Linked DNA regions of Astyanax mexicanus. The main gene of each other region encodes a partner of the protein of the gene in region 2 in a complex. Links are inferred from orthologs where the notes say so. Each region holds a gene or a part of one and is shown on either strand. Other genes may lie near its edges.

Region 1 (16,564 bases), on a different chromosome or scaffold from region 2:
CTAGCAGTGATTAATATGGCAGTCCTGAAAGTTCTCCTGGCTTTGCCAACTAGCAGACTTCACAGAGAATTTCTTCTTGCTATTTGCACATCAAACATGAACGCAGCCCTGATGTCTGACATATTTATCTCTCCTACGTCCATAATTCACCAGTGTATGAATCTCGCATAAAAACCGTGTCCTCACTGATTACAGCTCAGCCACATTTTGATGCCACAGCAATGTACTGTGGAGTAATCATAAAGAGCGAGGTAAATCATTGTGGATTTGGCCGGTGTAAGATAATCTAATCATTCTGCTCTCAGAGCTAGACTGATGCACACTGTAACCTTTCATCAGCTGAACAAAACCCCATCATCATTTCTACTCCCTTCACATTTTACCCTGCTCCCTCCTTCACTGACACAGTCCTTGAAATGGTAATTTAGGTGGGAATGGTAATGTGAGCAGGACAATGGCTCAGTTTTGCATTCATAAGCACACATAAAGGAATAGGCTCAGATGCGGTAAGCAGTTAAACAAAAGATCGGTGTGTTTGTGTGTATGTGTGTGTGTGTTGGGGGTGTTCATTGATGTTTGTGCACAGGGGGATTTAGCAAGGGTGGGTTAACAAAGCCTATAGACACCTGTTGACCTTTCTGTGTATACTGAAGAGGGACTACATCCTCTTCAATTTGTAGTCGTGTAGCTGTGTGAGCTCCAAAGCTTCTTAATGCACCTGACAACTGTAGAGTGTGTGTATGTGTGTGTGTGTGGTGTACTTCAATAGCCTGGTCTTACTAGGTTCCACACAGTGTAGAGGCTGAGAACCTCCAGGGCCCTTGGTGTGGGTGTGAGTCGCCCTCTGTGGGTAACATTCCACCATGGCTTTTGTTACCGATAACCAAACCTATTGTGTAAAATGAGGATAGTGTTTCTATTAACTCATACAGCTCTCTCTGTCTCTTTTGTATCACATCTAGACACCGGGAGTAGCTATGCTGAAAGCATATGGACTTGCCCTTTGGCTTCAGCAGTATCTCTCTTTCTCATTTATCAGATTTTGCCCTCTGGTGCATTATTCCATTCTGCTGTTGCCACAGCCTGCCAGAAGATCTGCAGGAGCTACACAGTTTTTGTAGATTTTAATGGAAAGACTGAAGAATGTACTTAACATCTTGCATACATTTCTATATACTGGTAATTTGTACACCTTTTTTACATTAATATTAACACTTACAGCATTTTAGCAGTTGCAGCTGTGCTTTTTCACAGGAAATTTGTCAGTGTTAAATCAACACTGTTAGTGTTAAATTAACACTGAGGGTGTAAAGTTTAACACTAATAAGTGTTGATTTAACACTAATAGTGTTGATTTAACACTGCCAATTTTCCTGTCCATGCAGAGAATATATAAGTGATAACCAATAGTTTAAACCAATATCTGTAGAAAAACATGAACAGAACAACGTCTTTTAAAAACAAAAACTTGAAGCCACCACCAGTCTAGAGCCTCTGCCTGCAGTATGATATGAAACACATCCTCTTAGGTTTCAAAGCCGAAACAGTCAATTTTCCAACTTTCTAATGGAAGTTGATGGAAACTGATGGAAACACTTCAAGAGTTTCAAGAGTTGAACCATTCCAATGAAGAACTGGTGATAAAGACAGTTGGGAAGCTGTGTTTTAAATTGCACAGTTCCTTAACTTGTTGTGTGTTAAAAGCCTAAAATCTCATTCAGTGCCATATTTTTACCTCAGCCCTTCGTTCATGATCTCTAATCCTTTGCTAATGCATCAGGTCATTGGTTTTAGCTGTTTCGCTTAAGCTAAAGGCCCTCTGCCCTCCTGTGGACTGCAGCGTTCAGCCGCTGAACCGGAAATCAATATTAACTCATTTTTTATACTGAGCTTTATCGATTGACCTAGATTTAAGCCCTAATTGAATTTAATTATTAAAGGTATCTCTTTTATTGCCTGATTGCCCTCTCTAATGATACTTAGCAGCCTAAATGTATTTCTCTCTCTTCCTCTTAGTTTTGTCTTTTTTGCTTTCTCTCTATAGAACTTTTTGAGATAAATTTAAAAAGGTTTAGAGAGATTCTCAAGAATAAAAAAGTATAAAGTTAAGAAGAAATCTGTTTAAAATAAAATTTCTTTAAGAATATTTTGTGTCCAGTCCCTGAGCTAGCTCAGAACAGGCTTTGGAGACTGTGCTCACAGCTGTTAGACACTCGGCTAAGGGGCGTACATTGTTTAGCCTCCTGTGGCTGCATGTGCTTCACTGGAAACAGTAATCAGAGGCATTCCGGAAGACCAAGACAAACACCCTCTCACTCTTTCATTTCACCAGTGCAGTTGTAATCACTGTTTGCCTCTTCACATCTATCTGTCAGAAAGACAAAAATTATACTAAAGGATTTTACCCCAGTGCCTTCTCGTGTCTGTGTTTTGTCCCCTGTGTCTTAGCATTTAGAACATTTAGCACTTAGCTTAAGTAATAATGACCTGATACAAAAAACAGACCTTTTTCTATTTGTCTGTTGGGTTAATAAAAAAAAAACAGAGGTTGGGTAAGTGTGGACTCTCAGTCTTGGCCAGGCTCTGCTGCCATGTTTGAACATGTTGTAATGTGTGTTTAGAAACCTCTAATAATGACCTGAGACGGCTCATGTGTCGCCTTGTGTTTTTTTCTGTTGCTTGGCAAAGTGTGTCATGTGACATGTCTTTTGTAATTACCATGTAATGCAATCAACACTTTCTGACCACTGCACTTTCAGGCTTGCTGTGTTAAACATGTCGTTAGGGTTTGGGCAACTTGTACTGCTTATTTTGTTCCATTCTGTTTCATTTTTACATAGAATTCCTAAGAGACACAGGGCTCATTTACAGTCAAGCACAAACAAAACAAGGCAAAACCACTGTAAGCGCTAACCACACTGCAGTTTTGAAATGCAGGACTGTATCCTGTGTAGTCATAACCAAGCCCAATGGAACAACCAAATCCTCACTGCTTGGTGTAGATGTTTGTATCCAGACACCTCCTCTGGTTTGTGTGTCAGAATGACTTGCAGCACGCCATTAAAGAAGCTACATTCTACATTTTTCCCTGAAGTCCCTAATGTTAGGACTGAAATACTGCACATAAACAACAAAGAAACAGCCTCTGTATTTTAATGTGTTGAACATTACAAAAACTATGAATTCAAATTTTGGCAAGTAACGTTTTGAAAATGTAATGCAAATACCAATCTTAAGATCTATAAATCTCCTTGCTCATTCTTTTTCTGTTACTGCCTAACAGTAGCCAGACTACAAAAAGACAAACACTTGTAATAAAAGCACATATGAGAGCCAGTACCTTGTTATTACTTTATATTCTTTAGGCATTCTTTTGTCATTTAAATTACTCATTCAGGTAGCTTAACAGCAGGGCTCCACAAAAAGGCTCTTTTGGCTATGTGCTATGATCACAAGCTATATTTCATAGGAAGAATGCTGAGGCCATAATGTTGGTGTTACACTGATTAGACTAGAAAATGTTTCTCTCTAAATAAAACTTAAAAATAAACATTGGTTTAAATACTGCAGTACAGTACAGACAAAAAAATACATAAATGCAGGGCTGTAGAAAAAGAAGACGCTAAAAAAAAACCCTACCTACATTCTGGCAATATTTAGCAAAGGAGTCAGGAAGTAAGGCGATGTAGGACCCTGCAAGAGCTATGATAAGTTCATTTAAGAGTGGCACTAGGGACCCAATTGTACTATTCCTGCTACGTAAATTACACATTTTAAAACTTTACTCTTTGAAATGTTTACACTTATGTTCATAAATCTAAAATGTCAAAACCATCAGTAAAATTCCGGGGCTTTCAATTGTCTAATTTAAAGCTATTGAGCATTGCTCTGTACATGGCCCATTAATTGGTGTGTGTGTGTGTGTGTGTGTTGAAATTGAGAGAGAACACTCCCAGAGCAGAATGTCTCACAGCAGTTAAAGTTCCTCCCATTAGCCTAATTTATCACTCTCACAGAAGATGAGCCACTGCTATCAAGAAGAACACGCCGATAATCTATTTCTGTTGCGCTCTGGTTAAGACACCCGAGGTGAGGCTTAAATAGTCATATTACAGCATAGCAACTCGACAAAGAGCCTGACCTTTTTCTGATTGCCTGCTAAATGTGGTTTGCAGCCAATTCTGACTGTCATTGCTGTTGCATCAGAGATATTTCTAATGCCTATTGTTACTGTAACTCTCTGAAGAATTCCTAATCACTCATGCTTTTCTGTTTTCCCTTTGTTGACCTCAGGCTGTGTCTTGATGTCAGGGGAAACAGTTGATGGTGTGCAATCGTCATGAAGAAACTGTGAAACCCCACCCAGGCAGGAAAGAAATGGCTAAGAATAGTCTCTCCGCTTGAGTTTCCAGCCGCCCTCACTCGTGGGAGTTCCTGTAGCCTCTGTTAGATCTGGAGGGATGCTTTTGCCTCCCCTAGTCTGGAGTGGGTCACAGGGGTAGGCCAAATGCCTTGACCAATATTTCATTTCAATAGTCAAACTTACAACAATGAACATTCAGTGCTTGTTAATATGCTCATGTACTGCCTTTTACATGAGTAATTCTGAGTCAGTCATTTCTTTTGAAGTGGAAAGTCATACATGGTCACAGCCAACAGGCCACTGTTAAACATGATGTAGGGTGTATGATGTTTCCAGAAAAACACATGAATGGGCAAAGTGTTCCAGCTTAGCCTTAAACTTAACCTGAATAGGACACTGAAAACTGGACCTTACAGTGCTTTTCCACATAAACGGAAAACCTAATTTTGAACCACTCGCCGAGTTTCCACCAACAAAAGAAGGTTTCAGAACCAGGAACGTTTCTTTGCAGCAGGAACCGAAGAATACTAGGTTCTTCAGCGTGAACCGTGACGACATCTGTGAGCTGCCGCTGTGCAAATCCCTCAGTTGATGTGACGTTTTGACGGTTCTACTAAAACTGATGGAAACGCTGACTGGTTCGATTAAAAGACCCATAGTATTTATAAGTCCTAACCGAACTGGTACAAGAACCAGATTTCGTTAGGTGAAAAACCATTGTTTGAGTGTAATGATGGTCATCTTAGCTATACTGGTAAGATTGTTACATGGATACAGTAATACACACGATTGGTAGTGACTACAGCCTGACCAGTAATTTGTGGTGATGGGTCCAGGCACAGTTGTATGTAAAGGCCATGTATCCCATTTCTGTTAACATTACTGGGATTCAAATTTGAATTAGGTATTCTAACAATACAATATACGGACAAAATGTTTCTTCTGGTCTTCAAGGGTATTTAAAAAAGATTTTATACTGGTTTTGACTGGAAGTTCATTTCACTGACTACAACACAAATGTAGCAGTTAGAGGCTATTTACGCTAAACCTACACCAACAGGAACACAAAACCTTACACATACATCACATGACCACAAATTCATGGTTAAGTCATTTTGGCTGGCACTTTGTGTAAACATGATGTAAGTACTGGTATTTCAGTGGCACTGTGTGGTCCATGGTCTGTGCTTATGTAGGTTTAGCACTGGGTTATAAAACCTAGTTGTGGGACTAGCGTCTGGGCCAGCACTTCTATCAGTTCTACTATACTGTATGTCTGTACGCACAGCTGAGGACCACATGATCGCTGCTGGTGGGGCGGGAAGGGTGGCCTACAGCAGGGAGTGGGCTCGCATTCCTGATGCCAGAGCATATTTGGAATTCCTGGCCTCTTGCAGCCACTCTCAATGAGCCATTTGATTACTACAGAGACTTTTTCCTGGGCCGTGGAGCAAGACTGTATGAGATGAGTAACGTAGACAACAGGACACCATTCACACCAAGCAGGGAACAGAATGACAGCATTCAAAATTATTCACAGAGGCTCACACAGCAAAAAGTGACCTGTTTGAAATTAGCATGTAGTGTGAGGTCAGTTTACAGGAGGTTGTTGTGGTAACCATTTCACGGATCTTCTTAGAGATAATAAACAACATAGTTTATACTGTGTTTTTACAAAATATGCATTACATATGGTATCATTTTACTAAAAGAGACATGCTAAATATCATTGAACTTTTGCCATTGTCTTGTGGAAGCTAAAGAGAACTGAGCTGACTTGTGGGTTATGCATGTGGGACAACTAAAAAATTGAATGCTCGATCCATCTGGCACCCACTATCAGGCCTCATATAAGCCATATTTCGAGGTAACGCTTAGATACTGCTATCCTTTACTTTTTTATTGACTTGTAAATTGACCCAAAATGATTAATGAAACAAATATTATTTTTCCAAATGTGTTAATTACTGACACATTGTAATATGCTTGTATCCATGATTAGGTTATGCAGTTAGCCTAGAATAAATATGTTGTTTAGCACCATTGACACTGCAGTTTAATCCAAAATTACACATTATCAAAACCAGCCCCATGGGACTTAGACCAGCACTAGTCATTTCCCTGTAGACTCACATTACATTTAAAAGCTCTCACTACCCTGCTGAAAAATACAGATTTTGACAGGAGCAGTTTCTGATTTCCTTTTCAAATGGTCTGCACAGGTCTTGGATGGTCAAAGTGGTTAAAAAATACTCATCCAGGTGAAATATATACCTTATATCCTCTTAAGGTGATAAACCAGCTAAGCTCTCAGATGAGCATAGCATATGTTCGGTCTATAAGCATAACAGACCTGACCTAGCTGATCGTCAAACTGGTTATACTGGTTGACTGATTTGGTGAAGCTGATCATACTGATGACCAATGTCTGGTCAACTAGCTTGGTTAATTTCAGACATCCATTGCTCCTCAGACCAACCACATATTGATAGTAACTCCCTGATACACTCATATCATCTGCTTTCCTGTAAATCAGGAAATAATATTAGTCCCACTTATGCACTTTGTGAGTCATAACTGCTTCGAAAGAGTAACACATAGAGCATCCTGATTGGTCTCTTTGACTTTACATCTCTTTGACTGATTAACTGACTGAATGACAAACTTTCTTCAAAGGCACAAGCTCAAAAACTGGTTCTTGCTACAAAGCTGCAGACACAAGAGATAAGCTTGTGTTGGCTGAAGTTATTTGGTTTATGTGGGTTTGTTTCATTTCTGGATATATTATTGTAAAGGGAAGTAGTGCATGTGTCACACTCAGGTTTCTTGGTTTCAAAAGCCTTGATTCACGATCACATTCAAGATCCACTTAAAGTAACCTACATTAGCTAAGTGTTCCTTAGGTACCAAGGGTTTGTGAATGTATTAAATTTTTATTTAGAATTTCTACATTCATTTATACAATTTCTTTATGTATTACATAATAAAATCAAATGCAGACATTGATATGAATCACCAAACCTCTTGAATTTTAATGAGTACATATTTTAGACCCTACCCTCCAATTGTTAAAATGATAGGCTGTGTGATCTGTATGACACATGCTATCCATCTAATGGCGGTCCACTGCAACTAGGGTTACAGCCTAATTGCATACTACACACTAATATTATAAGATATACACTAAACTTTAAAGTGTGCGGTTGCCAGGTTAGTACAAAATATATTTATTTACTAATTTGTTTAAAATAACAGAAAGTGATGAAGTGTTAATAACATGTCACTAAAGGTGCTCCAGCATTGGTCTAGCTGCACTAGCTTCTTTATCTACTATTTGTCTCATTTCTTGTTCCAGACATGAGCAACTCCTCCATATTCTATTTTACACTGCATTGTGGGATAACAGTGTCCATTGTAACCACAGTCAAAGGTGCAACTAGTTTTTGAGTATGTAGCACACTGAAATGTGTGAAAGTTGAGTATACTCAAATATCTACAATTCGATTAGGTTACGCTATACACTGTTATGCCAGAATGGTAGAGTATGGCCGCTGCACAAAAGCCTTTTCCAGAGCATCCCAAAGATTCTCAATGGGGTTAAGGTCTGGACTCTGTGGTAAACAATCCATGTGTGAAAATGATCTCATGCTCCCTGAACCACTCTTTCACAATTCCAGCTTGATATATTCTGGCATTGCCATCTTGGAATATGCTCGTGCCATCAGGGAAGAAAAAATCCATTGATGGAATAACCTGGTCTATATTCAATATATTCAGGTAGTCAGCTGACCTAATTCTTTCAGCACATACTGTTGCTGAATCTAGACCTGACCAACTGCAGCAACCCCAGATCATTTGCTTAGTTAAATTCAGGTGTTCACTTTTTTTTTTTTTTTGGCCAGGCAGTGTAAAACTAATGATTTATCTTAATTATGTATCTCTACTCTATATGTTCTATATATTTACTCAATATGTACAGAACCAATATGTACAGGGGCATTCCTGTTAAGAAAGTGTTAAAGGATGCAAAGTCTGGAACAAATAAGAACCAAATAAGTGAACATGAGAAACTAAAAAAAAGGTGTAATGAAAATATTTTTTTCACTATAAGATAAGGAATGTGCATATAAATTTTAAAAAAGTAAAATAAATAAATGGCCTTCAATTCCCTTTTGCGTTTTCATTTAGGCTGTATTATATGAATTACATATGTAGGACTGTCCACAGCATTTCAGTGTCAACAAAGGAAGGCTTATCAGATTCTGATAATTTAATGGTAGTTTGTACGTGGTTCACAGGTGGTTATTTTAGATTACTTGTAACCTGTCTTAAAATGTAAGTGATAGTGAACCTCGGTTGGGCTGGTGGGACGGCTCGAAGCGGGCGGCGGAACATTTCCCTTATTTTTAAAATCCAAACCTTGACAGGTATGGTTTACCAGAACAGCAGATGTCTAAATGCTGTATGAGCTGTGAGGATGTGGAGCACATTTCCCGCTTCGTGTTTGTTGAACGGTGGGCAGAGCTCGAGCCGTGATGCTGAAACCGAGGCTGCGACGTCACGCGACAACTCCAAACCTCACCCATACAGAGAGAGAGAGAGAGAGAGAGAGAGAGGGAGCTAGCAAGCTGTAGAGAGAGATAGAGCGATAGAGAGAGGGAGAAAGGGAGAGAAAGGGAAAGAGAGAGGCGTACATCGGGTTGGAGCTCCGGAGCGGATCTGTGAGTATATATTTATCTTCTCTTGCTAGATTTCGCTGTTGTTCCCCGGGTTTTGATGAACGATTTAACTAGTTAGCATAGCGTGGGTTAGCTAAGCTAGTTAACGGTGATTCGGTCAACTGAGAGCTGCTGGAACCAGTGTGGAGGCTTTTTAACGGCCGGTGTGTTTCCGCGGAGCCGTGCGAGAGAGCACCGAGACCGGGTAGATTATACACGGACGCACGGCATCACACACACGGCTTGCGGAAGAGAGAGAGGAAGAGAGGGAGCAGGTCAAACGGCTCGAATATGGCGGAGCCGGAGTAAAACAATTCAACTATCACCGATGATTGGGACGCCGTTTTCTTGTTAAAGCCCGAACCGCGGGCGGTTTAGTTTGTCAGTGAAGTTAGCTTAGGGTTTGTGTTGATGTGAAAACGTTAACCCAGGTTGGTTAGTTATCTATCTAACGCTGTCTAGCCTGCGCAGAAACACACAGCTGTGTGAGGAATGGCGTTTCTCTGCTGTCTGTATTCACCGCTCTGTCTGTGGAAGTTATAGCGGAAATGGAAAAGTTGCACGAATGAGTGATAGCTAGTTAGCTAACTGGCTATGTTAGCTTAGCTGTAGGGGAACTGGGCGTTTCGGCTCGCTAACACGACGAAATGTAGTTAGTTAACCTAAATGAAACGTCTTTTTGGATGCTGCTAACGTTTGAGTGTGTCTCTCTGTCTGGTGTTTTGTAGCGTTAGCCTGCACGCTAAACCGGTTTATTAAATGGCTCGAGTGCATTGAGTCTGCTGCTGCTGCTGCTGCTGGCTCTTCATATGTCTGAGCAGCGACCCCGCCTAGTTTAGAGCCGAGCTGAAGAATAAACTACCCTGATAGCAAAGAACGTTCATTAAACATTAGCTAGCTAGGTTATTACTTTTTGGTTGCATTTCTAGCTTGCGTATTTTAATATTAATGATGGAAAAAACCTTTATTTAACATTATCCCGTAAGTATAGGCGAGTGTCGAAATTCTGACGTTGAATCAACGTTAATTTAAAGCCTTTAAATGGCTGGGGCTCTGAATCTACACTCACAATGCTTTTAGGCAAAAGTATTAAACTATTAAAACTATTATTACTATTATCATGTCAATGTCCCTTTCTCCCCCCCCCCCATTTTCTCCCCAATTTACACGGCCAATTACTCAACCCACTCATTATTAAAACTCCCCCGTCACTAGTGAGACCCCAACACCAGGAGGGTAAAGACAAGCACATGCCTCCTCCGACACGTGTAAAGTCAGCCCCCGCCTCTTTTTAAAATGCTTCTAATGTAGCATTGCCGAGTAGCCAGCGCATTCGGAGGAAAATGCAGCGACTATAAGAACACAGTACAAGCTACAGAAGTAGAATACAAGCTAGATTTACATATGCAGTGTAAGTAAAGTGTAATACAACCAGCAAATATGTAAAAAAAACGCATAACGTTGAATTAATGTAATGTAAAATCATTGTGTACCAATCAGTGTATCAATTCTGACGTAGATCATCATTGTTTCAGTGCATTCGAGATGTAAAAATGAACCATGATTCAACATACTTTTGCTATCTGGCTATAGAGATGAAATGAATGACCCAGGAACAGCAGCAGCACAGTTATCAGTAATTGGACACTGGAAGTGGCCTACTGGTACACAGTATACACCATTACTAGCTAAATTATATGAGAAACATTATGTGTGTTTTGATGCATAGGTATAGTTAGCTAGCTTACTTTAGTAGTGGAGGACCACATGAGTAGGTCTGACCATCATGTTGCAGAGCCATTCTGAAGTATCTTTATCCATAATGTAACCTACCTTGCCGTGAGACAACTTTTGTGTTCTAGCTAACTATGCCTAATATTAGTAATAAGAAGAACATGTATCTAGAGGGCACTTTTTCCACTCTAGCTAGCTACACCCTCTTTCTCCTCTCCTCAGCAGTCTTTTGGTGGTTATTGCAAGTTCTAGATGGCTTCTCTCCCCTCAGCAGTGTGACAGGAGCATATTGAACTGTTTCTGAGGTAGTGCAGTCGTTGTAGGTGGTAAGGAGGATCCTGTTGCCTCTTCATTTATTTTTAATAGCATAATCTTTTATCACTGCACTGCTGCTTTCTGGTCCCTGTCATATGGCAAGTGCTTCAGTTGTAAACATTTTACAAGGGAGATGTTTTTATGAAATGTTGGTGTTTACTGTGTTTGGACAGAACCATTGCTTTTTTTCGGTATCTCATCTTTAAATTGTGGTTAGACCTCGGAGTGAACAATCAGATGGCCTTTTATGGCAAGGTATTTAGGCCTATATAAACAAATACCAAAGTAAACAGTGTGACAGTCTTAGTCCTACAGTGACTCTGTTGTTTTATGTTTTATTGTACATTTTATTTACAGCTAGACAGATGTTTAAACCTCATATAGGATGGAAATTAAATGTATATGAGTAGTCCTGACAACATTAATCCAAAGAGGGTCAAACAGAGAGATTGAACTCAGTCATTCTGCTTTAGTTGTAAATTATCTATGCATATTGTGGTATTTACTCAGATTGTGTGCCTGCATACTATTCTCTAATGCATATTGCTAAATTCTGATCATAAAGAGAATTGGTATCACTTTCTATTTCTAATAGGACTTTATTCATACTACTGGGTTAATTAAGGAAGTGTGTGTAATGATATGTCAGTGTTCAGGGCTGATTATTTCATTCACGGCACAGACATTTCCTGAGACAGTGGTTAGATAAAGTTTCACAGACCCTTTTTTTTGCCTCATATCAAAAATGGATAAGCCCACATTGATGTCTGCAGCTGCAGATTATGAACCTCTGCAACATTTGTTCTGCTGATTTGTACTCTTATGTTTGAAACACCACTTCATGCATGCTGATAGCAGTTAGCATTGGGTCAGTTCAACCTCACCCTGCCGTGGTCTGACCCCAGTTGTGTCCCTCTTGGAGTGAAAGGAAGGAAATCCCCGTGATAGTGTGTCCTCTTGGGCACTGAGGAATGCCGGTTTAGAGGCTCCTTTGGAAAAACAAAATGAAGAGCGTGCAACTTCCTTTCAGAGAGGGATGGTCCACAGTTTGTGTTGCCTTTAAAGGCTTGGGTTTGGCCCAGTGTGTTAGTTGTTAGCATTAATCTTAGTTTTAGGGAAGGATTTAGGACAGTTGTTTGACTGATATTTCAAACTGAATTTTAGTATGTTTAAAAACAGGCTTTTGCACATAAATAGGTAAAATATTAGATAATTACATTGATCCCTATTGGACACATTTGACTAACAAGTGTAAATAAATATATGTGGCTTAAATTATGTTGATTTTACAATGCAAATACCAACTCCAAAGTGATATGTGGCAGTGGACACTAATGCTTAGGAATGTCACCTGAGACTGTTGGAGATAAATGAGACCCAGTATTTATGTTTCCCATTGGGACAGTGTCCTTGTGGTCCTTAAGGAAGCATGGCTGTTATGTTATTTAAGGAATAGATGGATAGTTGTATTGAGCTTACAATTGACTTAAACAATCTCTGTGACTAAGTGATGTACTGATGTGGGAATTGTTGGCTGTTGCTGATACAGTATCTGATGCCTACATATCTACCAGTTAGGCCTGCGTAATGGTCATAGCATCATTATGATAGGAGTCTCTGTGATGGCAATATACATTGAGTGTGCTTTCTAGCTCTGGGCTTAAACCTTGATGGCCTGTGTCTTGCAAGAGTTATTAATATTGTGAAACCCTACTGCTGATACCTGAATGCATCATTTGTAAAAGATAGATTAGCATTAGCATTTGCTCTTCCTGACTACACGGAGTGTGTGACGACGGCTGAACGAGTTGAGTAAGTCTCAGCAAGTCTAAGGCCACAGTGAATGGTTTGGTAACACTAAAGATGTCAGTCTGTAAATTTGTGGGACTTTTTGGGAAACTGAAAGAGAAAAGAGGAAAGGTGAAACTCTGGCGAGGAAAAGCGGGAAATTGTGGGGGTGGAGGGAAGGAGGGTAGTGGGTGTCCCACAGCGAGTTGGCCCACTTCCTCTTTAGGCCAAAGGGCCTTGTGAAACCTGGTGGCCCTGTCATGCTTTCCTTCCTCCTTTCAGTCACGTGACTGCACTGAGGGGAACCAAAGATGCGTCTGGGGGTATCAGGAGATAGCCAGTTTGTGATATACTATCAATTGTTATTTAATCCTTTTATCCTGTCTCAATTCACTAGCTTTAATTGAAGTTCGTTCACTGGCTCTGTGCCACTGCATGTGTCACAGATTGTCAAGATTGTTCGACAACTTGTTGCAGTGATGTTGTGTCGTATGGTTCCGACGCTCGCCGACTCCAACATTTTAATCCCTGAGCAATTCTCTCACATCATTGTCTTCATTCATGCGTGTAAGCTATGGCTGATTACTGTGGCTGCTATTTGTGTCTCTCTCCAATAAAGGAGTTCTACTAAGCTGAGTACGAGTTGAACTTCAGGCCTTAAGAACTTCAATTTAATATAGTTGTTGTGCAGGTTTCTGAATTTGAGTTAATTGGCTTTTTGTGTGTCTTGAATTGTGGAAAGATGACTGTCATAAAGAGCTGTAGAGTGTGCAATGGACTGCAAAAGTTATTGCATAATTCTGGTCAAACATGAATGACTGAGGCACATGACTGCATGACTGGTACTGTTTATTTGCTCAGTTTAACATTCATAACTGTTTCATTTGTTAATGGCACATACATGGCATTTGCAATACTGATAATTTAGAAAGCTGCTTGTATGACAGTATGCATAGAATAAAAGTGCATAATAAGTTCAGTTTCCATCCATTACGGGTATACAAAGGACATTTAGATGATGTAAGCTACTATGAAGAGATTTTACTAGCTCTTTGCTTTTAGCCTGTTGCGATAATGCAACGCATTGCATTGTGGGAGTAGTGAATTTAGTTGTATTTTTCAGATTTTGCAGTGAAGCTGTATGTAACCTGTTCGTTCTCTCTTCGCTTACTTCGTTTACTCTGCCACTAAATTAATTTTCATTATTATGCCCAAACCTGTAATAAATGTCTATTAATTCACAGTAATCCTGATTTAGCTAATTTTTCTGGTGGTAAAAAGAACCAAAGTTTGACTATTAATTTTGACTATTTAGCTGTTTTTGGTAATGGAGCTAGCGATAAAAAAAAAAAGCTCAGTAACGAGAAGAACTGTACACCTCTAACAGCCCAGTCTGTATTGTAAAAATGACAAGGCACATTGATGCATAAAATTGTTTATCGTGATAAATCCTGGGACAAAGGCTGTGTTGTTTTTAGTTTAGAGACACTGGGCAGGACAAGCAGTGGGCCACCTAATCTCTAAATCTGGGAAGGCAAGCGTTTTGCAGATCTTTAGGTTTGATATTTCAAAATGTTTTAAGCACACTTTGAAAAGCTAGGTTTTAATGATTGGACCATCCAGAGGGACACTGGCAACCATTGACAGCTGATTTGCATTACACATCATTGGGACAAAAATATGTTCTGAGACATTCTGGAAGTTGCATGATGCAGTAGTTTAATCACAAATGTAAAAGAAGACGGACTACAAATTGAATAAACTGAATTACACAATAAGAAATGCGGGGAGTGATAAATTATACATGAAACAGCTTTGTTCAAGAGTTAATGTATGTGAAATCTCATCACTGGGCTCTGTGTACAATCATAACCCTGATGCCCTGCTATGATTTGGCATTTGACACTCAGGTTGGCCAGTTTGCATTGATCTAGTCCCCTGCTGCCCTTTTTCCTGTCGCAATCTGCACCCCAACCAGCTGTTTGTCACCAGCTAAGCTGCTTACTGCTTCCAGTGCTGGAGACCATAACTTTGCATCAGGTCCTTGTTTAAGCTAGGAACATACGGCAGTTATGCCCTTTGAGTGTTTGGTGAAGCTAGTGGGGGTTGGTCATGTTAAAGGTGTTACATAATTGTTCTGGACATCACCCACCCAGTAGGCAAGCAGAAGCTGGTCTGAAGTGGGTGTTAGGTAGGCGAAGCACTGCAGGCATTATCTCCACACTGCTTGATAGCTTTGTTTATCTGTTATCTGACTGTAATCTGTTTGATTATTTATGCGACCGTGTTTACACCGTTTTTGAAGTGCGGTTGCAGACGTGAACAATTATAAATAATTATTTTGTGTGTTGATACACACTCTAGTTTAGTGAAAAAGAAACAGTTCTGACTAGTTCTTAAATAAAATTCTTGATGTTTTTTTTGTATAGTCTCCCAAAATATGGCCTACAGCGGTTGTGTTTATTTGTTGAAGTATGTTTGTAATGCACAGACTAGAGGCACAGATTTCCACGCTGGTCCCTCTGAAGATGAGGTTTAAATGGAGTATCTATTTCCCATCAAGCTGAGGCTAATTTGCATGCATCTTTTTCCCCTTCTCCTTGCTCTTGTAAGACATGCAAAGATTCTCATGCAGGCAAGGTGTGAGCTTCGGCAGCACAGAGTGCATTGATTTGTTTCGTTGTTTTGCATTGTTTAGGGTCAAAACAGTGCTTGGGCGGAAATGTGAAATGTGCGTAGCCAACAAATCATTGTTTTATAATTGTTTCTCCTGTCTCCCTGACAACCTGTAACCTAGGTGAATTGATTGACTTGCAAATGACATGTCAGGCTGTGTGCTCTTTCCACTGATTGATGGTGTTGAAACTTACAGGTTACCACTCAACAACATGAAGCCTGTACTTTGCCAAACAAGCCATTCTGTGGGTGTTGGACATGGTCTAGTTGTCGCAGTGTAAAATGATGTCTTTGACTCCAAATATGTCATGTTATAAATTTACTTGGATATTTTGTCATATTGTTAAGGGGGTGAAGTGACACATGGAATTGTACCAAACAGTAGTGGTATCTTTAAGTTGTTGATTGGCTAGGAAAATGTGGGATATTTCTGTCTTCACCTTCTGCGTTTGAAACAAATGAAAATGAGCAAGAATTTTACTAATATTCCTATTAATTCTTGATAGATTGAGAGGTTTTGTATCAAAACATAATATGCTACTTTATACTTTTATTTGTTTATTAAAACAACACTACAGGCTGTATGAGGCATCTTGATGGAGATTTCTCTACCGGTGCTTTACTACCAGAGCTACTAGATGGCCTGAGGTGGAGGTGATTGTGGCTTAGACAGTGGCTCAAACTGCCCCCTCCACTGGAGTTCATGAAAGCCACAATTACACCAGCCAGGTCATCAGTTAGAAAGGTGACTCCCCAGTAAGTGATCTTACAAGCTCTGTGCTACACTGAGTATTAAAGTCCAGGGATATGTGCGTAGGTTTTTATTCGCAGAGCATTCTAACTTGGTACCTGCAGTTGAGACTTAATTATACAGCTTAATGTTGTATACTTTTCTTTTTCTTAATAAATCTTTCAGTGCTGTAGCACAGAACATTTTCAATTGGGGTGTCTCAATGCTGTGGCTTTTTAA
Region 2 (16,564 bases):
ATTTATAGATATATGTTTGAGTAAAACGAACATTGTTGTTTTATTCTATAAACTACAGACAACATTTCTCCCAGATTCCAAATAAAAACATTTAGAGCATTTATTGGCAGAAAATGAGAAATGGCTCAAATAACAAAAAAGATGCAGAGCTTTCAGACCTCAAATAATGCAAAGAAAACAAGTTCATATTCATAAAGTTTTAAGAGTTCAGAAATCAATATTTGGTGGGAAAACCCCGGTGGTTTTTAATCACAGTTTTCATGCATCTTGGCATCATGTTCTACTCCTCCACCAGTCTTACACACTGCTTTTGGATAACTTTATGCTGCTTTACTCCTGGTGCAAAAGTTCAAGCAGTTCAGCTTAGTTTGATGGCTTGTGATCATTTATATTCCTCTTGATTATATTCCAGAGGTTTTCAATTTGGTAAAATCAAAGAAACTCATCACTTTTTAGTGGTCTCTATTTTTTTCCAGAGCTGTATGGTAAAACTGTGTGGGAGAGCAGGCAGTGTATTGATAACTATTCAGTGTAATAACTTACTGTGAGGGAGTTTTTAGAGGTTTAGAGATTGCAACTGTATGACAGTCTCAAATATGCACATACATTTCGATTCCAGAAGTGTGAAGTCAAATATACTCCTAAAATACATCACAACCACTGAAATATACAGAAATTTAAAAACATGGTTGGAATTCCCCTCAAGAACTGTGCGAACCACACGCAGGTCTACAGACGCCGCTGAAGAAATCCGCTTAGGCTTAAAGAGCATTTCAAAAAAGTGGTGTGGACATTTCCCCATTATCCTCAGAGCAACTGACGCCTGTGAATCACGTCACTACTGTTAAATAGTGCAGCAAAACCAAGGAAATAAGGGCCTAAATAGACTAGAAGCACAACGACTCAGTAGACTAAACCTGTTTTAGTTCATTCCTGTTTCCCCACTGCAGACCTTCACGCTCGGCTTGGCCTTTCCAGACGTGTTTCCTAATTGTCTGAAACCTGGAATTAACTTAACACACAAAATTCTAAAACCTCATACACTCTACAGTTTTCAGAGCTGTTTATTACGCTATTTATTACTGACACACATCATTATTACACACTGTTACAATCACGTTAGCGTCTGTTGGTCCTGTAGCCGCGTGTTTCATTTGGTAAACAGCAGCAGAAAGAGACGCGTATTTATTACAGGTTTTGGAAATACAGACTTATTGTGACGGCAGTTTGATGTGGCTGAACTGGCCAACTTCTTTGGGATTTGTGTTTTAAGGTTTTGGAAAATGGAGCAATGGTGTAATGCTTTTAGACCCCTCTGTTGAGTCTGAGAGACGCTGGGGCTGGAGTGGTGAAACAAATACTGTCCAGCCTGGCTCGTTGCATTCAAAGTCACAGGGTTTTAGCATCAGTTAAAACATATAAATCAGTCATTTTTTTAAACTTTTAAAGGCCTAAACCCCTGTAAAGCTAAAGGTGAATTTTGTTTTTTAATTGAGTTAGAAACAATCTAGTTTTCGGGAAACACTCATTATTATACGAAGGTTTACAAAGTTCTTAGCCTTAAAAAAGTTTTAGGAAAAGCAGTCCATGGTCCTTATCGTACACCCTGCACAAGGCATGTTGCAATGCTCTTTCTGGTTTCTTGCTATTTTGGTGGTGGAAAACACAGGTGCGCCACTGACTGATTAAAACCTTGACAACAGTCAATCATGAGAGTCCATTCCTATAGATGCATCCAGCACACTGCATACATCCTCACTCGTTAAACACAAACACAAAAGTGCTGCACTGTTAAGATACGAACATGCCAAAGTCAGAGCTCACATGGCTCTTAAAGGGAATGGCAAGTGACAGTTTTTTTGATTGGTTTCTTTTACATTACGCCAAAACATACCCATGATTATTTAAAAAAATTAGTACATGCCTTTTGTGGGTTTCGAGCTGCACTAGGTGTAATTTTTTTTCCGCAATTGACCGGTGCGCTATAGATCACTAAAATAGGGCCCCAGGTCTTATTGCTGCTGGACTTGGAGCAAACTCTGTCCAAACTGTGGTGTGAACTGAACCCTGACCTCTGTATAACTGTCACACCTCCTACTCCAGGGGTTTGAACTATAATAAAAAGTTTTTTTTAGCCAGCTTTTGTTTACATTCCTTCCCTGTCTCTCTGTCCTTTTCACTCCCGTACTTGGGCTCCCATATCTCCTTAAAATAGTGTTTTTTCCTGGCTGTGTCCCAGTTCACTAGCCAGGGCAGCAGTAGTGTATTGGACTGCGACCCTGAAGACATGGGTTTGATCCCGCGTAAGGGGCGGTGTGTTCATTTATTTATTTTTTCCTTTCTGCTTGGGTTTACCTGCTTTGAGATCAACTGTTCTGCAATTGGGTTCAACAACCCTCTGGGCTGGAGAGCTACTAGTCTGTAGCACTCCATCCCATTACACTTTTTTACACATTTTACAAAACTGATTTTTTTTGTGGCCCTCCACATAATGGCTTGAAAAATATATATCTGGCCCACAGTTAAACTTAATTGCAGATCCCTGCCCTACTCAGTCCTATCAAAGAAAACACCTGTGGAATGTTTTTTTTACTATGACAGAGTGTTTTAGCTAATGAATGCGAGATTGAGAAACTTCAGGAACACTGACTTGACTGAAACTGCGCTCGGCCAGCGTGCACCCAGCTTGGCGAAGTGTTTCCGTGGGGAATTTATCCACAGGCCCATGGGGAAATGGAGCTTGCTGAAACGAGGACTCCCAGACTCCTCCATCTTAAAGGAAAAGAGATAGAGAGAATGATTAAGAGATGGAGGTGGATATAGAGCAGGATAGAAACAGTAGGAAAGTTTATAGAAATACTTAAATGAAGTCATCCAGATTATGAAGGAACACATAAAGAATCATGTAGTAACTTAAAAGGGTACCACTTTAAAATAAGACTACCTTTATAAAGGGTTTATAAATGGTTTACAATTAGTTTATTAATGCTTACTAATTAGGTTGTAAATGCCTTAAAATCATTAATAATCAGTTATAACACATAAATAGAAAGGACAACAATGTAGACGGCTGTGGGTTCACTATTTTGCAAACAACAGGTCATTGTTGCCCTTTCTATGTATGTGTTATAACTGATTATTAATGATTACTGATTATACCTAATTAGTAACCATTAATAAATTAATTGTAAATCATTTATAAACCCTTTATAAAGGTAGTCTTATTTTAAAGTGGTACCCTTAAAAGTGTTTAAAACAAAAACAAAATACTTTGTGAAGAAGCATTTATGTGCTCTTATCTGAGGAGCTGATAACTTGCAGTTTCTGAGGCTGATAACTCTGATGAACTTATCCTGTACAACAGAGAGAACTCTTGCTCTTGATTTCCTGGGTCAGTCCTGATGAGTGCCAGTTTCATCATTAAGTTTTTGATGGTCTTTGTGACTGCAATTGAGGATCATTTCAGGAACTAAGTTCTTGAAATGTTTCAGATTGGCTGACCTTCATTTCTTCAAGTATTTTGTTTTCGTTATTTAGTTGAGTAGTTCTTGCTTCTCATAATATAGATTAGAACATTACTCAAATAGAGCTATTTACTGTATACCTGTAACTCTACCTCTTCACAACTTTACAACTGATGCTCTCAAACACATTAAGAGACAAGAAATTCAGGTAATTAACTCTTGATGAGTTCAGCACAGCTGTTAACTGAAAGCCTGAAATTCCAGATGACTATAAAATATATCTAAATAAAAAATCTAAAATATAAAAAAGATATTGTGGTTAGTTTACTCTTTTTCTTCATAGTTTGAATGACTTTAGTATTAACCTACAATGCAGAACATTTTAAAATAATGAAAAAACACTGATTTTAAAGGAGAACTCTGGTGGAAAATTGATTTTTTGTATGTAGTAATACATGATTAAAAGTTCTTACCTTTGATGAATAGCACACCTCTGTTCTCCCACAGCGTTCTGAGATCCATACATTTTAATAGTTTGTCTAAAACCCTTCAGACTGGGTGACACGGGGCATAATTTACCCCGATAAATAGCTTTTTCCACTGTTATCCAGCTCAAAGTAGCTCCACACCTCCTTGCTAGAATCTGAAGAGACCTGACATTTAAAATGAGGCATTAATAACTTAAAAAGTGCACAAGAAGCTGATTAAAAACCACTGTTTACATCCTACAATGCGAGCTTCAGCTCTGAGCGCCGCCATTACTGTACTGATAATAACATAACATAACGTATATATACATAGAATCCGCATAGCGTAGCAGATAAAGAGTGTTTTTTTAATAAGAATCTTGTGCACTTTTTAAGTTATTAATGTCTCGTTTTAAATGTCAGGACTCTGGAGCTACTTTATACTCTGGATAACGGTGGAAAAAACTATTTATCAAGGCAAATTATGCCCCGTGTCACCCAGTCTGAAGGGTGTTTGGACAAACTGTTAAAATTTCCGGTTCTGGGAACGCTGTGGGAGAACGAAGGTGTGCAAATGATCAAAGGAAATAACTTTTTATCATGTTTTACTACATAAAAAGAAAAATTTTTACACCGGAGTTCTCCTTTAAAGTGAGTCTTAAGTTTTTCCCGGTACTGTATAGGCATGTATAAAACAAAAGCAACAAGAAACTCATGTAAAAAAAAAGGCAATCAGTCTCTGAATCAAATACCATGAGTCATATTTTGAGATTGTAACATAATTAGGGAATTCTCCCTCTTGCTCGTGTCATTAATCCTTTAGCCCCTCTATTGTCCTTCTCCTCTAAATCAGCTTACAGGGTTATTGGCAGCGTATGACATCAGTTGATAGGCGACGGGAAATCCTGAAATACCCTTTCGAGTAATCAGGACATGCAAGGTCGCGCGTTTTTCCTGCTTTGTTCAGCTGTGAGTAAAGCCTTTGAGGATGTTAGTGGAGGAGAGCTGGAGGGGAATGCCACAGCAATAGAGAGGGAATAGCTGAAGCTTCGACGTGATCATGTGATCAAGCCTGTCACAATAAGTGCAATATCGATTTATCGTACAATAAATGAACACGACCTCAATCATTTTTGATAATCGTGATATCGCCTACTGTGTTTTTTGTATGTTTGTTCACATATATAATAATGAACATAATTTTAGCCAGCCATGCTTAAATAACTGTGACTCCACACACACAGTGTGGACAAAATATGTAAAGAAATAAGTATAGAATTCCCAAAATTATTATAATAAATGATTCATTCAAATTTTGTGGTCTTTAAAAAGCGTCTTAAAATTACCAAAAATATTGTGTATCGCAATAATTTCTGGGACAATATATCGTCCACAAAAAAAAAATATTGTGACAGGCCTACATGTGATTTATTTTATCATTTTTTTTCCTATTAGCTTGGCCTTGATCTTGCGCTGCAAAAAAATATCTTTAATAAGTCTTAGAAAGTTATATCCTCTTAAAATTTAAATTGGTAACACTTTATAATAACTTTTATTAATATATGATTAACTAATGAATGCTAATGAACTGTTATTTTTTCACATTTTAAGGAACAAAAAAGTTGGGAATACTAATAAACACATTGGCAACAATAACTGCAATTGATGAACATTTATCAGGTTTAAAATTCTCATTACTAGTGATGTATTAATGTTCAAATTCTGACGAGCTAATGATTTTTTAAAATGACTAAATTAAAAAAATGCATGCTGATAACTAATTGTCATGTGTAAGCATTTGTTCACATTTGTGTATCATTAGTTAAAAGTATATTAATGAAACTTATTATAAAGTGTGACCCTTAAATCTGTTTAATGATCTGCTATTTTTTTACATTCTTTTTCTTTGTTTAAAGTTTTGCTGTAATGCAATCAGTAATACCTTTTATCTCTTAAAAACACTTTTATTTCTCTTAAACCAATTTTATATACAGCTCTGTAAAAAAATGATGAGTTTCTTTTATTTTTACTAAATTTAAAACCTCTGGAATATAATCTAGAGGAAGATGGATGATCACAAGCCATCAAACCAAACTGAACTGCTTGATTTTTTGCACCAGGAGTAAAGCAGCATAAAGTTATACAAAAGCAGTGTGTAAGACTGGTGGAGGAGGAGAACATGATGCCAAGATGCATAAAAAAAACCAAATATTGATTTCTGAACTCTTAAAACTTTATGAATAAGAACTTGTTTTCTGAAAGTTCTGTATATTTTTTGTTATTTCAGTCATTTTTCATTTTCTGCTAATAAATGCTCTAAATGACAATATTTTTATTTGGAATTTGGGAGAAATGTTGTCTGTAGTTTATAGAATAAAACAACAATGTTCATTTTACTCAAACATAAACCTATAAATAGCAAAATCAGAGAAACTGATTCAGAAACTGAAGTGCTCTCTTTATTTGTTTCAACATTGTGACTAAGGGTCAGTAATAAACATTTCTGTTTTGATTCTAATAGATTTAGATTAATATCTCAGCAAAATTAACCCTTGTGTGGTGTTCATATTTTTGTTACTCGTTTACTTTGTTATTTGTATTTAATTCAGCAAAATTAAGCAATTCTACATTAAAATGCTTTACACATGCTTGCTTCACCTAAACTGCAAGCAATATAAACAGCTTACATGGTTAATATTTGCCTTTTACCTTTCTTATGTTACATTTCTTTCAAAAAGTGCTACTCTTTTTTTTATTAGTTTTTTAATAAAATGTAAAAGAAAATGAATTAAACTCAAGATATGAGTAGAAAATTTGTTTAGTTTCAAATTTACAAATGAAGCAATGTTTATTAGCCCTTGGCCAAACATACTGTATGTAATATAAATGGTTTGGGGGGGGGGGGGGGGGTGTACAGTGTGTGTTTATTGAAAATGTGTTTTGATATATGTTTTTCACAAAAAATGAGCCAATGACAATGAGTTTGAGTTAGAAAAAATATTTTTTTAGTATCATCTGATGAAAAATGAAAACGGGTCCCACAGACACAAGGGTTAAATGTAAATGGTTCTTTTGGATTGGATGGTTCCTTATGGGATTGTTGGTTTCTGTGGTTTATGTGAACATTAACATCCTTATTTCTTCCTATATTTTTATACATTGTGTCATTTTCTATTAGGAGTAAAAAATAACAGGTTTTAAGACTAATAGTCACTTTTTCCTAGTTATTCTTATTAACGGCATAACCTTCTGTACAGCGAACTGCCAACCAACAGCAAGTAATGCTTTGTAAAAAAAAGAAAACTTAACAAATGTTGATTTACAGTCAAATCTAACCAATTTGGCCATTTCCCTAAATCTGTCACGTTTAAATAATGCAGCAAATGCTTCTTACTCACTATTGTGATATACTGAATTGTGCTGGTTAGATAAACACATCTTGTGTAGTGCTACAATGCCTATTCTAATTCCAGTGTTTTCTCACATTTTAATAACAGGATATGTAATTGTCCACAGTGGCTGTGGCCCTGACCACCTGCATCCTCACTGGCAGAGAGGAAAACACGCAGATGCAGGACTGAACTCACTACAGGATTTATTATCACTCTTTTTTATACTCTAATTACTTTTTTAATCTACTAATTATTTCTCACCATCTTTTTAAAGATTGGTTCTAAGTAGAACACTTATCCTTAATCTCTTAGAGCAGGGGTGTCCAAACTTTTTTTGTTGGGGGCCTGAAGGAGAAATATATTTGAAGTCACGGGCCACAGACTCTGTAATAAAACAAATAATGAAATATACCACTTTAAATAATACTTTTTCCTGATTATTTCATTTACACACCATTTTACTTGACTTACTATCTTTATCTTTGACAGTGTTGTGTAAACTAAGATTGTTGAAATTGATGTTTAATTTCATGATGTCTCTTAATATTAAACTCCTTAATTACGACAACTTTTAGACTCTTGCCCTGTTTTTCTGTGCTAGAAATGCGCACCCTCTCTGCTTTTAGACTCTTTGGTCCGTTTTTCTGCGCTAGAACTGAGCACCCTCTCCGCTTTTAGACTCTTTGGCCTGTTTTTTGTCGCTAGAAATGCGCACCCTCTCCGCTTTTAGACTCTTTGGCCTGTTTTTCTGCTCTAGAAATGCACACTCTCTCCGCTTTTAGACTCTTTGGCCCGTTTTTCGTCGCTAGAAATGCGCACCCTCTCCGCTTTTAGACTCTTTTGCCCCGTTTTTCTGCGCTAGAAATGCGCACTCTCTCCGCTTTTAGATTCTTTGGCCCGTTTTTCTGCGCTAGAAATGCGCACCCTCTCCGCTTTTAGACTCTTTGGCCCGTTTTTCTGCGCTAGAAATGCGCACTCTCTCCGCTTTTAGACTCTTTTGCCCCGTTTTTCTGCGCTAGAAATGCGCACTCTCTCCGCTTTTAGACTCTTTGGCTCGTTTTTCTGCGCTAGAAATGCGCACCCTCTCCACTTTTAGACTCTTTCTAAAAGTTGTGTGAAGTTTCCAGCCAGTACAACTCCATAAAATGAGTTCAGAGAACTTCAACCTGGAAACTTAATAATGATTGTTGGGCCAATTAATAAAATGCATTGAATTTGCCAAGGCTCTTTCATTTGTGTTGGTTTATACAGCTTTTTGCATATATTTGCATACTGGTTGTGGCCTCTGTCTTTCTTTACCCTTTTGCATTATTATTGCACATGTTTGATAATTGCCAGGCCTCGGTGTTGTAGGCTGTAAGAGCAAGTTACCTTTATTCTAACTAACCTTTATGAGTTCCTAGTGCTTACAGTATGTTGGTTTGGAGCTACAGTGTTCACTCTTGTGTTTGTTTTTTTTTTTTTTTTTTTTTTTTGCATTATTTGAGGTCTGAAAGCTCTCCATCTTTTTTTTTATTTCAGCCATTTCTAATTTTCTGCTAATAAATGCTCTAAATGACAATATTTTTATTGGAATTTGAGAGAAATGTTGTCTGTAGTTTATAGAACAAAACAACAATGTTCATTTTACTCAAACATAAACCTATAAATAGCAAAATCAGAGAAACTGATTCAGAAACTGAAGTGATCTCTTAATGTTTTTCCAGAGCTGTATATTTTAAATTAACTTAATTGCTTAAGACAATAATATGTGAGAACAAAACACTTTATACAGAGTTAATTAAACTATTGTTGTGTGAACAAAACTCAGTTCAGTTGAATTGGGGTAACTTATTCAAGTCATCTTCCAGTTTTAACTAAGTTAAGTTGAATAAACTTAAAATTGTATATATTTACTACAATTTAAAGCAGTCACAGCAAAATGATGACTTGACTGAGTTAGGTTGAATAAATATTTTTGTTTTCAGTGTATAGGAATAATCAGTAGCTATTACTTAGGCTCAGAGGTGGAAAGTAATTAATTACATTTTTTAAAATAGGTAATTTTACTTTTACTCAAGTACATTTTGACACAAGTAATTTACTTTGCTACACTGGAAAACTCCCCATTACTGAGTACAAAATAAAATGCTGGGGGGAAAAAAAAACAATTGTCTAAATAAAAAAAAAAAATGCAATCTCATGCAATACAAAATGTGCCCCGCCGGACAGAGCTGTCAGTTTTCAAAACTTCCACATCAAACCGGAGAAAGCACGTGATGGTAAGTATTTTCATCATTAAACAACAATCTGCTTAAATGTAAAAAAAAAAAAAAAAAAATAGCAGTTAAAGCACAGCAATTGCAAGTTAAAAAATAATGATGAACTGTAAAACTATAAAATTACAGTTTATAGTCGCCTATATGACCATAAACGTTTAATAGTAAAGAAAAAAATGGATCATAGAAACCTATAATCTATGCCACTTGTTTTATGGGGTGTTCTGAACAAATACTGCCTGAAAGGTCCAAATTATTATGTGGAATAATAGTTCATTAAAAACTATTTTTTTATTTAATTTATGATTTGTTTTTACTTTTTTACATTAAATAATTAAAAGTAACTATGTAACTTTTACTCAAAGTACATTTTAAATTGAGTACTTTTTTACTTTTACTCGAGTAGATTTTTAGATGGGTACTTTTACTTTTACTTGAGTAGAATTTTAGCAAAGTAAAGGTACTTTTACTTAATTACAATTTTTCAGTACTGTTTCCACCTCTGCTTAGGCTACTAAGTAGTGTTAGTGCATTTAATTATTAGTCATTAAAGATTAGTAACATTTTAGGTTTTTTAAAACCTGGGAATCAAGGGGTTAATACTAATATCTCACACTTTAGACACTGTCCAGCGACTCCAGTCTCCAGTGTCCAGCCTAGGCCCAAACCTACGGCTTGTACTTTTTACAGAACGGTCAATTTAGCAGTTTGATGTGGAAAAGGCATAAAAACGCTAACAATAGTTCAAAGAGCGTCTATTCTTTAGTATAGCGTAATCGTTTCCCCTCACCAGTAATGTGACTCACCCACTGCGACTCGTTAAAGGATGCTGTTCTGATGAAAAATTGGGCTCAAACTTTTAGTCTCTTTTAGTACGCTGTCCGGCTCCTTATTCCACAGTAGCGACGTTTGATTAGTCCATGTTCTCGGAATTGTCTCTCACTGCTGGATACTGAAAATTATTTTACTTTTTTCCGACTTGATAAAATAAAATAAAATAAAATAAAAATTCACATCCTTCTCAATTTGAGTTTGTCTTTTCTGCGACTCTAATAAGCCTCGCTTTTGCTTTCCCCCGTCTGCCTCTTTTTCTTTCTCTCTCTCCTGATCCCAGTCTATAGATAGAGAAGCAGGCCTATTGTTCTTAGTGACAGAATTTCCTTCCCCCTTGCTGGACAACACCTATATCCTGACAGAAAGAGGGAGAGGGAGGGAGGGATGGAGGGAGGGTGTGGGGGGGGGGTGAAGGGAGAGAGAAATATTATAATGTATGATGTATGAGTGTGTAAAATGTTGTTAGGCCATAAACATGCATACATATACTACAGTAATGTATGTACAGTATGTATAGATTTAAGGCTAAGTACAGTTCGCTAATAGTACAGTACGCTAATAGTGCTAATTTTGAATGAGATGCTATCCAGTTCCTGCTAGCTTGAATTTAGCCAGAGTTAGAGAGAGCGCTCAACATGTGGTCAGTCAGTGTTGGAATTAGAGATGTCAAAATGTATTCTTATTCATTACTCTGTAGGTAGACGTATAGAGACTAGGGACAAAGAAAAAGATAGGCTAAAGCACTACTAGGAGTATTACAATCGTAAATCTTTCCAACAGGTGCTCTTTTGAAGCAGGGCAAAAATTTAAATATAAAAAGGTACACCGTAAACCCAGAAGTTGATTGAACTCAAATGAAGTCTGTGTTACATAAAATTGGATATTTCTAAACAATACTCAACTATTTTAAGTGAGTTGAAAGTTTTTTTGAGCACATATAAACATTCAAACTGAGATCTTTGAGTTGAACCAGTTTATAATAACTGAGTTTAGTCTGTTTTGTCATTAACTGCTTCTTTTCCATTGGCTTCTGTCACAATCTATTTGCATACTGGGTGTGTCCAACAGTTTCTGACTAACACTCACCATCAGTGTGTAGTGATTCCCCCTGGGCTACCTTAGAAATAAATCAACTTCCCCTTTAGTTGTAATAACTTGATGTTTTCATTTCTCGTTATTTAATAAATTTGAGTAATCCAGCTGCCTTAAAAAAGTTAAGTAAACTCAACTTATCTGGTTTTACAGTATAACAAAAATAAAAAAGTTAAATCAACTTCCCCTTTAGTTGTAATAACTTGATGTTGTAAGTTATGCTAACTCAAGTTTTCATCCCCATTACTTGACTTTTTTTTTTGGCCTTCTTCAGGGCATGAAACAAAACCTCATACCTGTAGAGCCAAACTGGCCTCCCTATAGCCTATAGTGCTACAGGCCTTAGTACTGTATTGTTATGAGCTAAAAGAGCTTATATCATTTCATACTATATAGCAGGGGTCAGCAACAGGTGGCCCACAGGCCAGATGTGGCCTGCAAGCGTGAAACATCTGGCCCATTAGGTTGTTTAAACTATAATGAACGATAATGAAAGAAAAAAATAAAAATAAAATGCTTCTCAGGTGACCTTCTGTTTACATCCCTTCCTGTGTGTCTTTGTCAAACTCGGCGTCACTTTAGTTTCCGCCCATTCTTGGGCTCTGTATCTCCTTATAAGAGTGTTTTTCCTAGTTTTGTCTTAATATACTAGCTAGGGCAGTGGTGGTGTATTTAGCCGCGACCCCACGTCATTTCTTTTCCTGCTTTCTTTTCAGAATTCAACTGTTCTGCAATTGAGTTCAACAACCCTCTGGGCTGGAGAGCTACCAGTCTGTAGCATTCCATCCCATTGGCCTATCTCCATCCCATGGCCAAACTTAATTGCCAATTCCTGCTATATACGGTTGCCTGGTTAATAGGTTTGTTGCACATAGGGGTGTTTGTAGACAATTCTTCACAGAACCATTTAAAATAATATTGCAGATAGCACCAAAAAGGTTCCACTGCTGTTTTTCAGTACAGTTTAAGGCGTATTCTACCGAAAACATTTTATTATTACGCATAGTGTCTTGGACATTGATCTAATTGCAAATGTAAAATAGGTAATTAAAACATAATAAACCTACTTAGAACACTGAACAAATAGCATTTGTTATCTGTCCTGAAATATAAATATTAAAATCCTTCAGAGATGTATGTTTTTGCATTGTTGTGTGACTCCAAATCCCATCTGTGCTTTCATAATAAATCCATAATATTTAAGTTAAAATACACATTTTAGTTGTGTCCCTGGCTTTCACTCAGTCGTGTTACTGTAACAGATTACCCTGAATATCTGAAACATCTGGAACATTCTACATCTACATCACATCTACAACAGGAAGTGACATCAGCTGCTTTTTCTGAAGACTATGGGAAGAACAACATTAAATTCCCTCATTAGTTTTTTCTGTATATTTTATTTTATTGTAACTATGACTGAGGAGTTCAATCTCAACACTCTGTCCTGTTACCCAAATTAATACTTATTAGATCTTATTTGTTTATTTTTAAAATAAAAAGTTTGGGAATGTCTCAAGAATATTCTCAGTGTCCTTATGCTATTAGCATAGCCGCTATTTAGCTATTTTCATGTTTTTGCTAATTCTATGCTAAAAACTCTGTCCTGTGACTTTCAGCCATGTTACTCATAACATAAACAGTAACAGGAATGAATGCCAGTAACAGGAGTCAGTAGAGTCCCCTGGTTTATGGATTCATTAATGTAAATATTAGTTAATGTAAAAGATAAAAAATAGCTTTGCAAATTTTAGAAAAATTAAATGTGCATGCATATATAGTGTTTTTATTGTCATAAATATCAATTATTTGAATGTGCAGTAAACCATTTCATTAAAATTAATACTTTCTTGAGAGACAATCAAAGGAATTAGTGGAATCTTTTTTCAAACATGCTTTTTAAATGTCACATGAGTTTTGGTTACAAGGACTAAGACTTCCGCTTAGAAAACATGTATAAAATGAAGTAAAGCTGCCTGAGTTTGACCAGTACATGTTTTGAATGGTTAAATATGTGTGTTATTAAATTTAGAGTTGAGAAAAAGATAAAAAAATTAAGTTTAATTTTAATACACCAAGCAAATGGCACCCTTTCTGTGGTAGAACGTGTTATTACAGGCAGTGATAGGGCGAGTGCACACAGTTACGCTTAGCTCAGCATGTTTTATACTTAGTCTGTTTTATTTGATTTGGATCGGGGGTCTTTTCTGACTACAGGAAGTAGGAAAGCTTGTCCAACAGGAAGTTGCTGAGAGAAAGGCACCTATGACCTTTGACTTTGACAACAACAGGATGATGGTGACAGGAAAGAGGGAGTGTGTGTCTATGTGTGTGTGTGTGTGTGAGAGAGAGAGAGAGAGACAGAAAAAGAGAGAGAGAGAGAGAGAGACAGAGAGAGAGAGAGAGAGAGAGAGAGAGAGAGAGAAAGAAATTAAATACAGACCTTGTTTTGAAGAGGTTTGTAAATACAGGCCTTTTTTGTACACTTAAATATAGTTCTTTAATGGTTCTTTAACCAAGTCAATCATTGTACTGAATACAGTAGGATATTTCCACTCTCACACTGTAATTAATTCCTGTATTTTTCTACAGTAAAATCACAGAATAAACAACTGTTTAACCCTTTCAGACCTGAATTATCTCCAGTGATGGAAAAAATGTAAGAATGCTGTTTTCTATCTGTAATGCAGAGAAAAGAAGACTCTTATAGAATATTTTACTATAAAATCTATATAGACAAAAAAATCGAATTAAATAAAATATTTATTGTTATTATTATTATTATTATTTTTCTATTGCATTGGGAGCCTGTGTGTAATATTTTGCATTTCATCTTGACCTTTTTATTTCATGAACTATCCCTAAACAGTTAAAACATGATTAAAAGGTGTTCTAAATAACATAAAATTTGTAAAAATTGCCTCTATTTATTAAGCTTAAGTACTACCCTTTTACCAGTGCAGTGGGCGGGGCCAAGTTACTGTTTCATTTGTTTATAAACGTGTTTATTGGCTGGTTTGTGGTCTATTCTGATGGACAACAGCTCACAAATAGTCATATGTGCAACAACACATTTAAAAAATAAAGAAAATACAAGGGTTAGCGATGTTCTTTAATAAACCATAGTTGGCCCTTATTTTATTTTAGTAGAGATTGTTATATATTTTGAGTAAATATCATGTACATTTATCATGTACATCATGTATATTGGGAGATGCGAAAGAAGCCATTTCTGCAAGCACACCACAAATATCGCCTGAGGTGTGCTTTTGCTTTTGCACACCTCAGGCGACTCTGTTTGTGGCGTGCTTGCAGAAATGGCTTCTTTCGCATCACTCTCCCATACAGCTTCTCCTTGTGCAAAGTGCGCTGTATTGTTGACCGATGCACAGTGACACCATCTGCAGCAAGATGATGCTGCAGCTCTTTGGAGGTGGTCTGTGGATTGTCCTTGACTGTTCTCACCATTCTTCTTCTCTGCCTTTCTGATATTTTTCTTGGCCTGCCACTTCTGGGCTTAACAAGAACTGTCCCTGTGCTCTCCCATTTCCTTACTATGTTCCTCACAGTGGAAACTGACAGGTTAAATCTCTGAGACAACTTTTTGTATCCTTCCCCTGAACAACTATGTTGAACAATCTTTGTTTTTAGATCATTTGAGAGTTGTTTTGGTGAGCCCATGATGCCACTCTTAAGAGGAGATTCAAATAGGAAAACAACTTGCAATTGGCCACCTTAAATACCTTTTCTCATGATTGGATACACCTGGCTATGAAGTTCAAAGCTCAATGAGGTTACCAAACCAATCTTGTGCTTCAGTAAGTCAGTAAAAAGTAGTTAGGAGTATTCAAATCAATAAAAGGATAAGGGTTCCCATACTTTTGCACCGGTCAAATTTTGGTTTAATGCATATTGCACATTTTCTGTTACAATAAACCTCATTTCAATCCTGAAATATTACTGTGTCCACCAGTTATTAGATATATCAAACTGAAATGGCTGTTGCAAACACCCAAATATTTAGAACTAAAAATGTTAAGATTAATAGGGGTGCCCAAACTTTTTCATATGACTGTATATTTCCTTATCACATATTCTAAAGTATGCTATGTTATTTTTTATGTTATATAATGTTTTATGCCATGTTATTTTATGTTGTTATGTTACAGGAAGCAGAGATAAGGAGCATGACAAAAATAATCTGACTAATTGACGGGAAACGGGAAAAATAACCGGCAGATTAGTCAACTACAAAAAAAAACATTAGTTGTTGATGTTGTCAATAAATGGTCATTGTCGTTTACAGGAATAATTGTTGTTGGGCTTTTATCTTTTGTCATAAGTGTTTGTCTTTATCACAGGACTGTTCCTCCACTGATCTTCATGAAGGTGAGGCATGCTTATGGATCACAGCAGCAGAACCCTCTCAGACTGGAGGCCTGAGGATGAAGCTGTAGGATTCTCAGACAGGAAGTTGTGACAGCAGGCTGTGAACGGCTGGTGTGCGTCATTCAGCCATGTCCCTCCATGTTTGTTTTTGGCGAGCGAGTGAAAGCTTTTCCTGACTGGAGAAGAGAATGTGCATGGAGTGAGAGAGAGAGAGAGAGAGAGAGAGAGAGAGAGTACAGTACAGCAGTGTGTTCTCTGAGCTGGGGGAGCTCCAGACTGCTCCTGTGCTACTGTACGCTTCATTTCCATGTCTGGGAGGCTGATGCCCTGTCTGGTGGTATACAGCGCCCTGCAATGGCAGAAATGACTTACTACACAGTGTCTCAAAACTCAGACCCCATTCATACCTGGCTCTACACCCATTATCCGTTTATCAGCTCCACTGGTCATGTACACTGGACACTCTGTAGTTTTATAATAATTACAGACTGTAGTCATGTATCTGTGTCTCTGTATACTTTATTATTATCCTCCTCCTCCTCCATCCTCACCCTGTTCTTCAATATTCAGAACCCCACAGGTCATTTAGCACTAATTGATTATGGCGTAGCCAACGAAATCCCAAAAATCAGTGTCTCAGAATATTAGAATATGATATAAAACCATTT

Evidence for each region.
Region 1: the proteins of rasip1 (region 2) and rap1b are in contact, whole or in part, in a crystal structure (PDB 5KHO), measured with the Homo sapiens proteins. The link is inferred for Astyanax mexicanus from reciprocal best matches to the Homo sapiens genes RASIP1 and RAP1B. Residues at the interface, in NP_060275.2 of Homo sapiens: Val147, Lys149, Ala156, Ser157, Gly158, Ala159, Asn160, Tyr161, Lys162, Ser163, Val164, Leu165, Glu181, Arg182; in NP_001010942.1 of Homo sapiens: Val24, Gln25, Asp33, Pro34, Thr35, Ile36, Glu37, Asp38, Ser39, Tyr40, Arg41, Glu54, Leu56, Phe64.

The regions. Positions count from the first base shown.
Region 1 is NC_064409.1:11,820,439-11,837,002, forward strand, and holds the start of rap1b (ras-related protein Rap-1b), read left to right. Parts: upstream 1-8,934; 5' UTR 8,935-9,084; intron 9,085-16,564. UniProt on the Homo sapiens protein: GTP-binding protein that possesses intrinsic GTPase activity. Contributes to the polarizing activity of KRIT1 and CDH5 in the establishment and maintenance of correct endothelial cell polarity and vascular lumen.
Region 2 is NC_064413.1:6,838,315-6,854,878, reverse strand, and holds the start of rasip1 (ras-interacting protein 1), read right to left. Parts: upstream 10,716-16,564; 5' UTR 10,372-10,715; intron 2,773-10,371; coding exon 2,651-2,772; intron 1-2,650. UniProt on the Homo sapiens protein: Required for the proper formation of vascular structures that develop via both vasculogenesis and angiogenesis.